Linked DNA regions of Drosophila melanogaster. The protein of the gene in region 1 interacts with the protein of each later gene in a pairwise test. Each region holds a gene or a part of one and is shown on either strand. Other genes may lie near its edges. The genes, in order: CG9135 and CG13488.

What was found.
Region 2: the proteins of CG9135 (region 1) and CG13488 interact in a two-hybrid assay, tested with the Drosophila melanogaster proteins (one large-scale study listed by BioGRID).

Annotation. Positions count from the first base shown.
Region 1 is NT_033779.5:6,048,931-6,054,509, forward strand, and holds CG9135 (uncharacterized protein), read left to right. Parts: upstream 1-1,908; 5' UTR 1,909-1,991; exon of another isoform or gene 1,992-2,137; intron 2,138-2,686; 5' UTR 2,687-2,747; coding exon 2,748-3,092; intron 3,093-3,149; coding exon 3,150-3,731; intron 3,732-3,791; coding exon 3,792-4,328; 3' UTR 4,329-4,947; downstream 4,948-5,579. Other genes in the region: IPIP (inositol phosphatase interacting protein), read left to right, coding at 1-7, 81-416, 484-702, 1,144-1,418.
Region 2 is NT_033778.4:21,949,477-21,953,250, forward strand, and holds CG13488 (uncharacterized protein), read left to right. Parts: upstream 1-2,115; 5' UTR 2,116-2,150; coding exon 2,151-2,294; intron 2,295-2,367; coding exon 2,368-2,928; 3' UTR 2,929-3,086; downstream 3,087-3,774.

The DNA.
Region 1 (5,579 bases):
ATGGAAGGTATGCAAGCGAGCCCTTTCGCTCGTCTATTAATAATCATAATCCATTTATCACACACCGATACGCCTTGCAGGCTTCCTCAACAAACGGGGCGAGGTCAACAAGGCCTTCCAGCGACGCTACTTCGTGCTGAAAGGCAACCTGCTCTTCTACTTCGAGTCGCGCTTGGACAAGGAGCCCTTGGGCCTCATCATTGTCGAGGGCTGCACCATTGAGCTGTCTAACGAGGTGGACAACTACTGCTTCGAGATCGCCTTCAACGGCAATCGCACCTACATCCTCGCCGCCGAAAACCAAGACAGCATGGAGACGTGGATGAAGGCGCTAACATGCGCCGGCTACGAGTATAAGCGCATCATCCTGGCCGAGCTAAAACGCCAGTTGCAAGAGATGGAGGACGCAAGAAACAGTGAGACTGCACAATGGCTAATCCTACAATCCCTGTGCACTAATCCGCTGCGTTCTTTAACCTACAGAGATGCTCGGCAGCGCCTTGGACGGACCACAAAATGCATCGGAGAGTGCGAAGCCTAGACCGCCGCCCAGGCGGACAAATCCATTCAACAGACCCGCTCCTCCTCCACCAGACAGTTCGCTGAGGGGCGGAGTAGTCATGTCGCCCCTGCCATTTATCAACGGATACTTCGGATCGAGCAACGCGCGCCTGCAGCAGGAGAAGCTAATGAGCAAGCAAGGTATGAACACGTACTCTTAAAATGGATGTACAATGCTGTGGGTATAGTAATGCAAAAATTAACTGAACGGAAGTGACCAAATTGAAAGACGAAATGAATCACCATGTTCGGGGCTTTGAGTTTTAAAAGCTAATTTTAAGTGGGAAACTTGGCCAATAGATAACCGCAGAACTACAACTTTGCCTAAATACAATCATACGGCATTTTTCGGCCCCAAAGCCAGCTGTTTGTTTGTCCCAATACAATGTGAGTCTACCGTTAGTAGAAGCTAGAGATAAGAGCAGAGTGCTCTCAGTATAATCCGAACTTCGATTGCCAGCTTATCGTTGCCATTTACCCAGAGCCGATCTAATTTAGTCAGCGGAATGCCACTAAGCGACATTCTCTGCAAAATCTGTTGCATATTCCCAAAGCCAGGCTACAGGCACTTTCTACTTGCAGACGCAAACGGAAACGGAAGCCCCAGCGGAACGCCCAGGGCCCAGCGCCGTCCCACGCCCGCTCCTGCCATCGCGAACAGCGTCTTCTATCCCGATGTCCGGGATCCGGGAGCGGCCAACAATAATCACAGCACCGTCAACGGTGCTGAGCGCCAGCGTCGCCAGGTCAAAGCACTGGAGGAGTTCGCACGCAACCACGAGCGCTTTCGCAGGGAACTGATGCCGGATGTGTCCGCTTACCGCGAGCGCCAGGGTCAGCCGCTCATCCAGTTGTGATGTAGGAGTGGGCTGCTCCGACAAAAAGCCAATGTATTACCCGTTTTGTGCTAAATCAAATACGTTTCAAATGAACTATGCTTAATTTCCATACATGTTTGTTTCAATAAACAAAACTTTAGATATAACAAATTTCGGCGATCATGGCGCACTCAGTTATGTGGGCATACTAATAATTGGGTTTTTTAGGTTATTTGTTAGAATTGAAGGACTAAGTTGGTTTTAAAGTTAAACATAATGTTGGGATTACTCAAATGGATAACTTAAAGAAACCTAATTTTTGGATGACAAAGTTCTACATATGAAAGAACAAAACTTTTTTTGTCCAAATGAATAGACCACATATTAATTGTTATTTAGAACATAATATTTTTTAAAAATTCGATAGACACAAAACCCAGTGTGAACGGCGAAAATAATCGATAACTGCTAAGAAAACAAAAACATCGACGTTGGTTGCTTTGTGGAAACATCGATAATCGCGAGCAGCCATCGATACATGTTCCAGCTCTGTAACCTAGCGTTGTTGTTTGTAATTTAGCTGTGAAAAGTAATTAAGCCGCACACAGAACTGTAAGTTCACCCGCTAGATAAATATATTTGAGTAAAAGAACACAACCCGAAATGGTTAAAAGACTGCAAGAAGTCAGCAAACTTATTTGATTCGTTGAAGCCGTGAAATGTCTCTGTGTTTGTAAAGTGACGCTACCATTTTAAAGGTGAATTTTGCGCCGGGCATTGTCTTTTCTGTAACTTCGGCATGGACTTTTTTAGTTTGAAAGCCAAAACTATGAACACAATGCGTAGTTTTTCGGGTATCAAGAACTCATTTATCAAAGGCTAGGAATATTCACTATATCTGTTGGCGTCGCTTGCTGCGGCTTTCATTTTGTTTCTGTGCAAAAACCACCACACAAACACAGGGTCACACAGACGCGAGCACAGCAAACACACACCACCAAGCGGCCGAGAGCGGCTTGGTTTTGGACCGTTTATGCGAAGCTGAGCTCATGAAAACCGGAATTACCGTTTTGAAAATTATGTTTAGTTGATATTTTGAAACACTATTTCCAAATATAGAAATACATAACGTAAAAACGTAACGTGTTTTTAAATTTAATATTACGACCCTTCCTACTTCGATTTCACGTATTCAGCAGTTCATGAAGATTAAAACATAAACACAGTGCGCGCTACGCTCTGCTGCGTGTGAAGTTTGGTTCCGGTTTTCAGGGCTTGAACTTATCTTCTACATTGCTCCCTTCCAGCCGCCGAGCAGAGAGATCCAGACCAGTCCAGTCCACAATACAACCCAGTACTAGCGAGAAAATGTCGGCCAAGCGAAAGGCAGGTGGCAATGGAGCCGGACCCAACAAGCGGCGACCCAAAAAGAAGGAGTCGGACTACGAGGACGAGTTCAGCGACGAGTCCGACGACGATGGCGTGCAGCAGCAGGCAGCGGCCGCCAACCAGATGGAGGTTCTCATTCCCCACGACGACCTCGACCCGCCTAGCAAGCTTCCCGAGGACTTGCTGGCCACGCTAGAGAAGACTCCAGGTCAGATGCTGATCGCCGGCATGGTGACCTGGGACCTGACTGGCAAGCGGGACCGCAAGAACGTCACGAAGGTGCGGCCGAATCTGTACAGCTTCCATCGGTTCACAGAAGAGAAGGTAAGCTATTCCGCACAGTCGTGGTCCACTTGATTTCTGAGTTCTTTTCTTTCGCAGTACCGATATGTGGCCAGCGGACCCAGTGCCGCACACACCATTCTTATCAACATGGACCGCAAGGCGCTCGGTTTCGGGCGTAATCCCAGCGGCCAGCTGGGCCTCAGCCAAGACATCAAGTTGGCGGAGAAGCCCACCATTATTCCGGCCCTCGAACAGCTGAACATAGTGCAAGCTGCTGTCGGCCGGCACCACACTCTGTTTCTCACTGACACGGGAACCGTATACGCCTGCGGCGAAAACAAGTCCGGCCAGTGCGGTGTGGGAAATACGCATGCTAACATTTATTCGCCCACGCCAATTAACTACCGAGGTCCGCCGATCATTCGCATCGGTTGCGGAGCTGAGTTCTCTGTTATTCTGGACATTAAAGGTAGCCTGCACACATTTGGGCTGCCGGAGTACGGTCAGTTGGGACACAATACTGACGCCAAGTACTTTGTCAACGCCAACAAATTGTCATTCCATTTCGAGACGTCGCCCAAAAAGGTCGTTTTGTACATAGAGAAGAGCAAGGAGGGTCATGTAACGCCAGTCGATGGCGTGCAGATAGTTGACTTTGCTTGCGGCAATAATCACACGGTATGTGGATAATCTCCATTCCCCACTTATTTCAAGTCTAAACTACATTTTTCTCTTCAGGTCGCCATCGACTCCAAGAAGCGCGTTTATAGCTGGGGCTTTGGCGGTTTCGGGCGTCTCGGACACGCAGAGCCCAAGGACGAAATGGTGCCGCGTTTAATGAAGTTTTTCGATACTCAGGGTCGGGGTGGGCGCAGCGTCTTTTGCGGCTCCACTTTCAGTCTGATCGTCAACGAGCTGGGCCTGCTGTTTTTGTTCGGACAGAATAAGAAGACGGGCGAGGCAAATATGTACCCCAAGCCAGTGCAGGATCTTTCCGGCTGGAACATTACCGACATTGGCTGTGCCAATACATCGATTATGATTTCGGCCGACGACACACTGATCGCTTGGGGCGCATCGCCCACGTTTGGCGAGCTGGGCATTGGGGAGTTCCAGAAGTCGTCGACGGTGCCCAAGGAGGTGCCAAAGTTGGACAACATTAAAATACCTCAAGTGACTATGGGTTACTCGCACACGGTGTTGCTTGTGGACACCACCCATGAGGCCACCAAGCAAAAGTACGAGAAGATGCCCGAGTACACTATCGATGATTAGGTGATTAGATGGTGTGCGGCTTTCCAAGTGCTGCTGCAAACACGTTTACCGCTGCCAACAACAATACTGCTCCATGTAGGAAATTCTCAGAACTGATCATCGAAACTCTGCTGCTACTTATCGAAAGTGAAACTAAACACAAAAATCCAGCAAAATGTATGCTATAAGTTAAAAGATTATTATTACGCTAAACTCGCTATCTACATACTATACGATAATCTCAGAAAACGGAAAAAAAAAGTTGATTATGTTTCCAAACTCTAATTTATTCTTGTAACTGATACTATTCCATCCTGATCCTGTTCCCCTTTTATAATTTATTGCCGCCCACCTTTAGGCTTAAAAAGATGCATAAAAAGCATGATTACCCATTTTTAATTTTTAATTTGTAATTTAAACGTAACAAGTTACAGTATTCTGCATTCATTTCGAACAGAGTGAGCAAAAGCAACCACAAAACTACAAAACACGTAAATTAACGAACTAAGCGCATAGGTTACATATAAAAAGTATACCATGGAAAAATCCAATACCAGTTGCAACTATTAATAGTACATCATGCATTTTAATCTTATACAAAGGAATATTTAAATAAAGAGAATGTTAGTATTTAGACTGCACTCGTTTATCACTGGCTTTTCACTGAATGGTAAACATTAAAGCTACTTATAGCTGGCACACATATTTCCTATCGAGCAGGAAACTTTATGGAGGTTTGACTGTAGAGCGGCGAATCTAAGAACAAATTGGAATCAAGGATTAGCCGCACTGGGGTAGCTGTAGGTCAGTCCGCCAAGGGATGTTTGGCGGTATACCCCGATTTCTGACCTGTGCCGACTGAGTTCCCAGGCCCAGTCCCAGTCCCAGCCTTGAGTCCTCAGTCCTGATGTCCTGCCGATTGAAAGCGAAAGTCAGAGTGCGGAAAGCTCCGGCGCAAAGCTCTCTCTCTCACTCTCTCGCCGAGTCTCTCTGCTCTCTCGCGCGCGAGGACTCTTGACTTCGGAGTGCGACTTTGCGGCCGGAGCTCCGGCGGATTTTTCCCTGACACAGTCTTCCGCCGTGGTCCTGTCGAGTAATGTGCGCCGCTGAGGAACAATCCCTGCACGTCGCGCCTTGAGTTTCATTTTACCTTTTTTTCGCCCCCACCCCACCCGACACTCATACATACAAACACCGACCGCACACTCGCACACAGACACACACACACACGCGCACATTTGACAATATCAACAAAATAGTTCGAGGAGTTTT
Region 2 (3,774 bases), on another chromosome or scaffold:
CTTCATTGAACTTGCAGCTTCGCATTACACAAAGCCCGAGGAGGAGTCTGCTACCGCGATACACATGCAAATTTGTGTACAAACTGAATCAATTTTTACCGCGATAAACTTCGGCTCCACCTTTTGCGGTGGAAAAGTGGAGAGAGCACCGGATTTTACGGCACTGAGGTAACTGCAAAATGTTGTGTAAAATTTGCAAATGCAATAAATAACTCGTTTCGGTGTAACGAAAAAAAAAGGATTGCTTCTGCTGTTTACACCCCCTTACAAAGGCATGTAGCGATTCCTCTTTTTTCGCTTCTGTATCCTTTTTTGCTCCTGTTTAGGGCTTTCATCCCCCCACCGAAACCAAAGCGCGCCACATGTGCGAGTCTGGTTGTACTTCCTGTGGGTTCCTTCCTCTTCGGTTGGAATACTCTATAGAAATTAGTTATGTTGAATAAGTTTTAAATTTAAAAAAAATTTAAAACCATTAAGGTACTTGTGTTACTCTCAGCTTTAAGTTCTTTCTGGCATGGCTAAGCAAAAGAAAATAGTTTTTATTTTCAAATGGTGTATGGTATAGATCATAAAGTATTCAATAAAAAAAGAAAGGGTATTTTGAGCCTAGGCAGAACGCACTATGCATATTATCTCAATTTTTGTTTCGCTCTTCTTGTTTTTTGGAGTGCTGCAAAGCATCCCCGAAAGTATGCAAATAATTTTTGGCCCCAACTCATATTTGATATTCAGTGTCAGTTGTTGGAAGGGTTACCGAATACAAGTTATTGAAATTTGCATGCAACGGTTGGGGAGTTGATAAAGGGGAAATGGTTGGGCGGAGAAACAGCAGGCGTTGTTGAGGCAATTTATAGCACTTGTGTTAGGCGGCTGTTTCGCCGGAGGCAAAGTTCTCGGTTATTGTTTCGCCATATAAAAGGCGCTGGGATTTCTCAGCCCCAAAGGACGTAATTGTTTAGCAGTCTTCGGGCTTGATGATGTTCCCTTGATTTTTTGGCTGCGGAATTCTGAACAATCCCAGGGACTTCACCCTTTCGCACAGATTCCCAATTAAGTTTAGACCGGTTCAACGCTTTCGCATCCATCAGGATTTGGATGCGGCACTGAAAAGTTACCATCGCAACGCTAGCCGCACAAAAAAAAAAAGGACATAAAAACGCTTTAAATCCCTGGAAATCGCAAAAACTACGCTAATAACATTGTCATATGGCGGGGGTGATGGTGATTTTTTTATTTCCCTTTTTTTTTGGATTTTTGCACTAAACTTCGCTTATCAAAGTTGAAATTGCAGTTCGTTGCTGAGCGCAGCGCATTGGGGATTTGTCGGCCACTCGAAAACTCCAAATGCGAGGCATTTATTGTGGGGCAGGGATAGAGGATTTCATTTGAAACTCTGATACGAACAATCGGCGTTTTATTTGCCATTTTGGCGCTCAGAGTTTCATCATCGTACGCCACTGACCCAGTTCAAGCATTTATCACAACGGCACACACACGGATACAGGCGATTGTCCTGAGGGTCTGACCCCAGCACAATGAATGACCCCCCATATCGCATCCTCAACCTCTTCCCCCATTCCCTACCCCTTCTCTTCCACTGCCCGTCACACTGCTGACTAAGTGGACTTTTATTTCACTGCTATTACGGCCCAAGCAGCGTATACGCAATGAATAGTTTCGCTGTCAAGCTTTCGCCTTTTTCTGCCGCACTCGCTGGCCATCTTCAGTTGCTAAGCGATTTAGATTTGGGCACATATCTCACCGCTTTGGGTGGGTTATTTGCTCTCTGTGAGAGATAAAGAGCCAGTGGCTAAAACTCTTCAGACGCTTGCCTGAATCGAAATCATTGTTAAATGCAGATAACTACTGTCTGGCCCCCGGCGGCGTCCATTCATAAATTTAAGTCCAATAAACCTCCTCCTATCACTTATCTGCCGGTTCTTCACCTACGAAACGTCATTGACTTGATGACGTCATGTGTCATCTTTATGAAATTATAAATAATTTATTTCCTTTGGACAAGCGCCAACCTTCAACATGGAAATTTCAGATAGATAAGACTATCTACGACTTGCTCTGTTTCCCAGTTTATTGAGTATTGAGTAGAGTATGTTCAGTAGACGAACGCCTTTCGAGGGAACAAGTCGGCCATGAGCTATCAGAATTTACTAGGTTTTCTACTCGTGGTGGGTATCGAATATACACGAAACATCGTTAAATTAAAACATACAACTGTACATTTAAAATCAGAACAAAAGCTTTACAGCAATAAATCATCCAACATGTGTAGCTTGGTTAATTAACATTTTATAACACTCAATTCATACTAACTATGGCTTGAATATAAATGCTTTCATATTATTCCAGCTGACCCCTTCTTTGATCAATACCTATGGAGATCGAAGTCGCTATCGGTTGTATTTGCAATCAGATTACGCTCTGCAAACAATCAGCACTCAGCTAGTTTCCCAGGCAATCGAGCTGGTGGACTATGTGGTGGAAGATCTGATCGTCTTGGACTCGCAGAACTCCATTCTGTTGGGCTACTTGGATCGCTTCGATGCCTTCACTGCCGTAAATGCGAATAAAACGGAGCAGAAGCTAAATGCCTTCTATGGCGTGATTGAGGACTATCTAGATTCGGATACCACGGGAGATCCACTGAGAACTTCCAGTATCGAGACCCAGTTGATTGCGCTTTGCTTGCAGCGCAACGGATTCGATCGATGGAAGCGCACGGTTCAGACCCGGACATCCCAGCTTCAGAAGCTGATATACCGGAAGTTGAGGAAGCACCTGGAGTCCATAGACAGGGAGGATCGTTTGGCTGTGGAGCGCAGGTGGAGGAAAATCTTGACTCGTGGCGGACCCCGAAGATTGGAGAAGCTGAGGGAATTCGTCAAATGGCTGGGAAATTTCAGAGATTAGAGTGCGGCGGCCCGGGTGAACGAATTGTTAGGCAATACGATATGCCGTTTAGTGATAAGAAGAGTTATAAACATTATTTATGGGTGGGTGGAGCAAGAGAATGTTTGTGGTTTAAATATAACCGGCCATGACCTTGAGGTATTATCAATGAAAGCAATATAAGAACGAAGTTTGAATTTGCATTAAGAATGTATTTTAGTAATATTTATTATTGCTATGTTAAGCAGTTCCTTGGCTAGAAAGTGGATGTTCTTTATAAAAGAAAACGTATTCATAGCATTTGTAAATTGAACATGTACCAACGCCTGGCAGTAAGAAAGTGCATCGAAGCTATTATCCTTTTGTGTCCTTGCACTTACTCCCCCTCGATAAATGCAATTTTAGCACAGCACGTCCCCTTCCTCATCACTCGGATCATGTATGAGGGCATTGTTTAATGCACTTCACAGCTGGAGGAAACTTTTTCCAGGCCCTGTGTCGACGGCAATGAAAACTTTGTCATGCCTGGCAAAGAGGATGATAAACTTGGGTAAAAATTATGAAACTGAATATGGAAGCGTTGGCGAAATTGAGACAGCAAAACAACAGAGCCAACAGACAGGCAAAAGACATACGAGACTTTTAGCCAAGCGAGGACTAAAACTGAAACTAAAACTGATACTTTTTATGGATGGCAAGTGAAAAATGTAGACAGTTGCAGAACGACTTTCCGGGCGGGGGCCAAAGGCAGGAGGTGAACGGGATTTGCTGGGATGAAAGAAAAATGGCAACTGCATTTCCTGTCTGAGAGCTGACAAAGTGCTGAGTGCATTTACGACTTGGACTTGGGCGAGTGTTTTGTGTCTT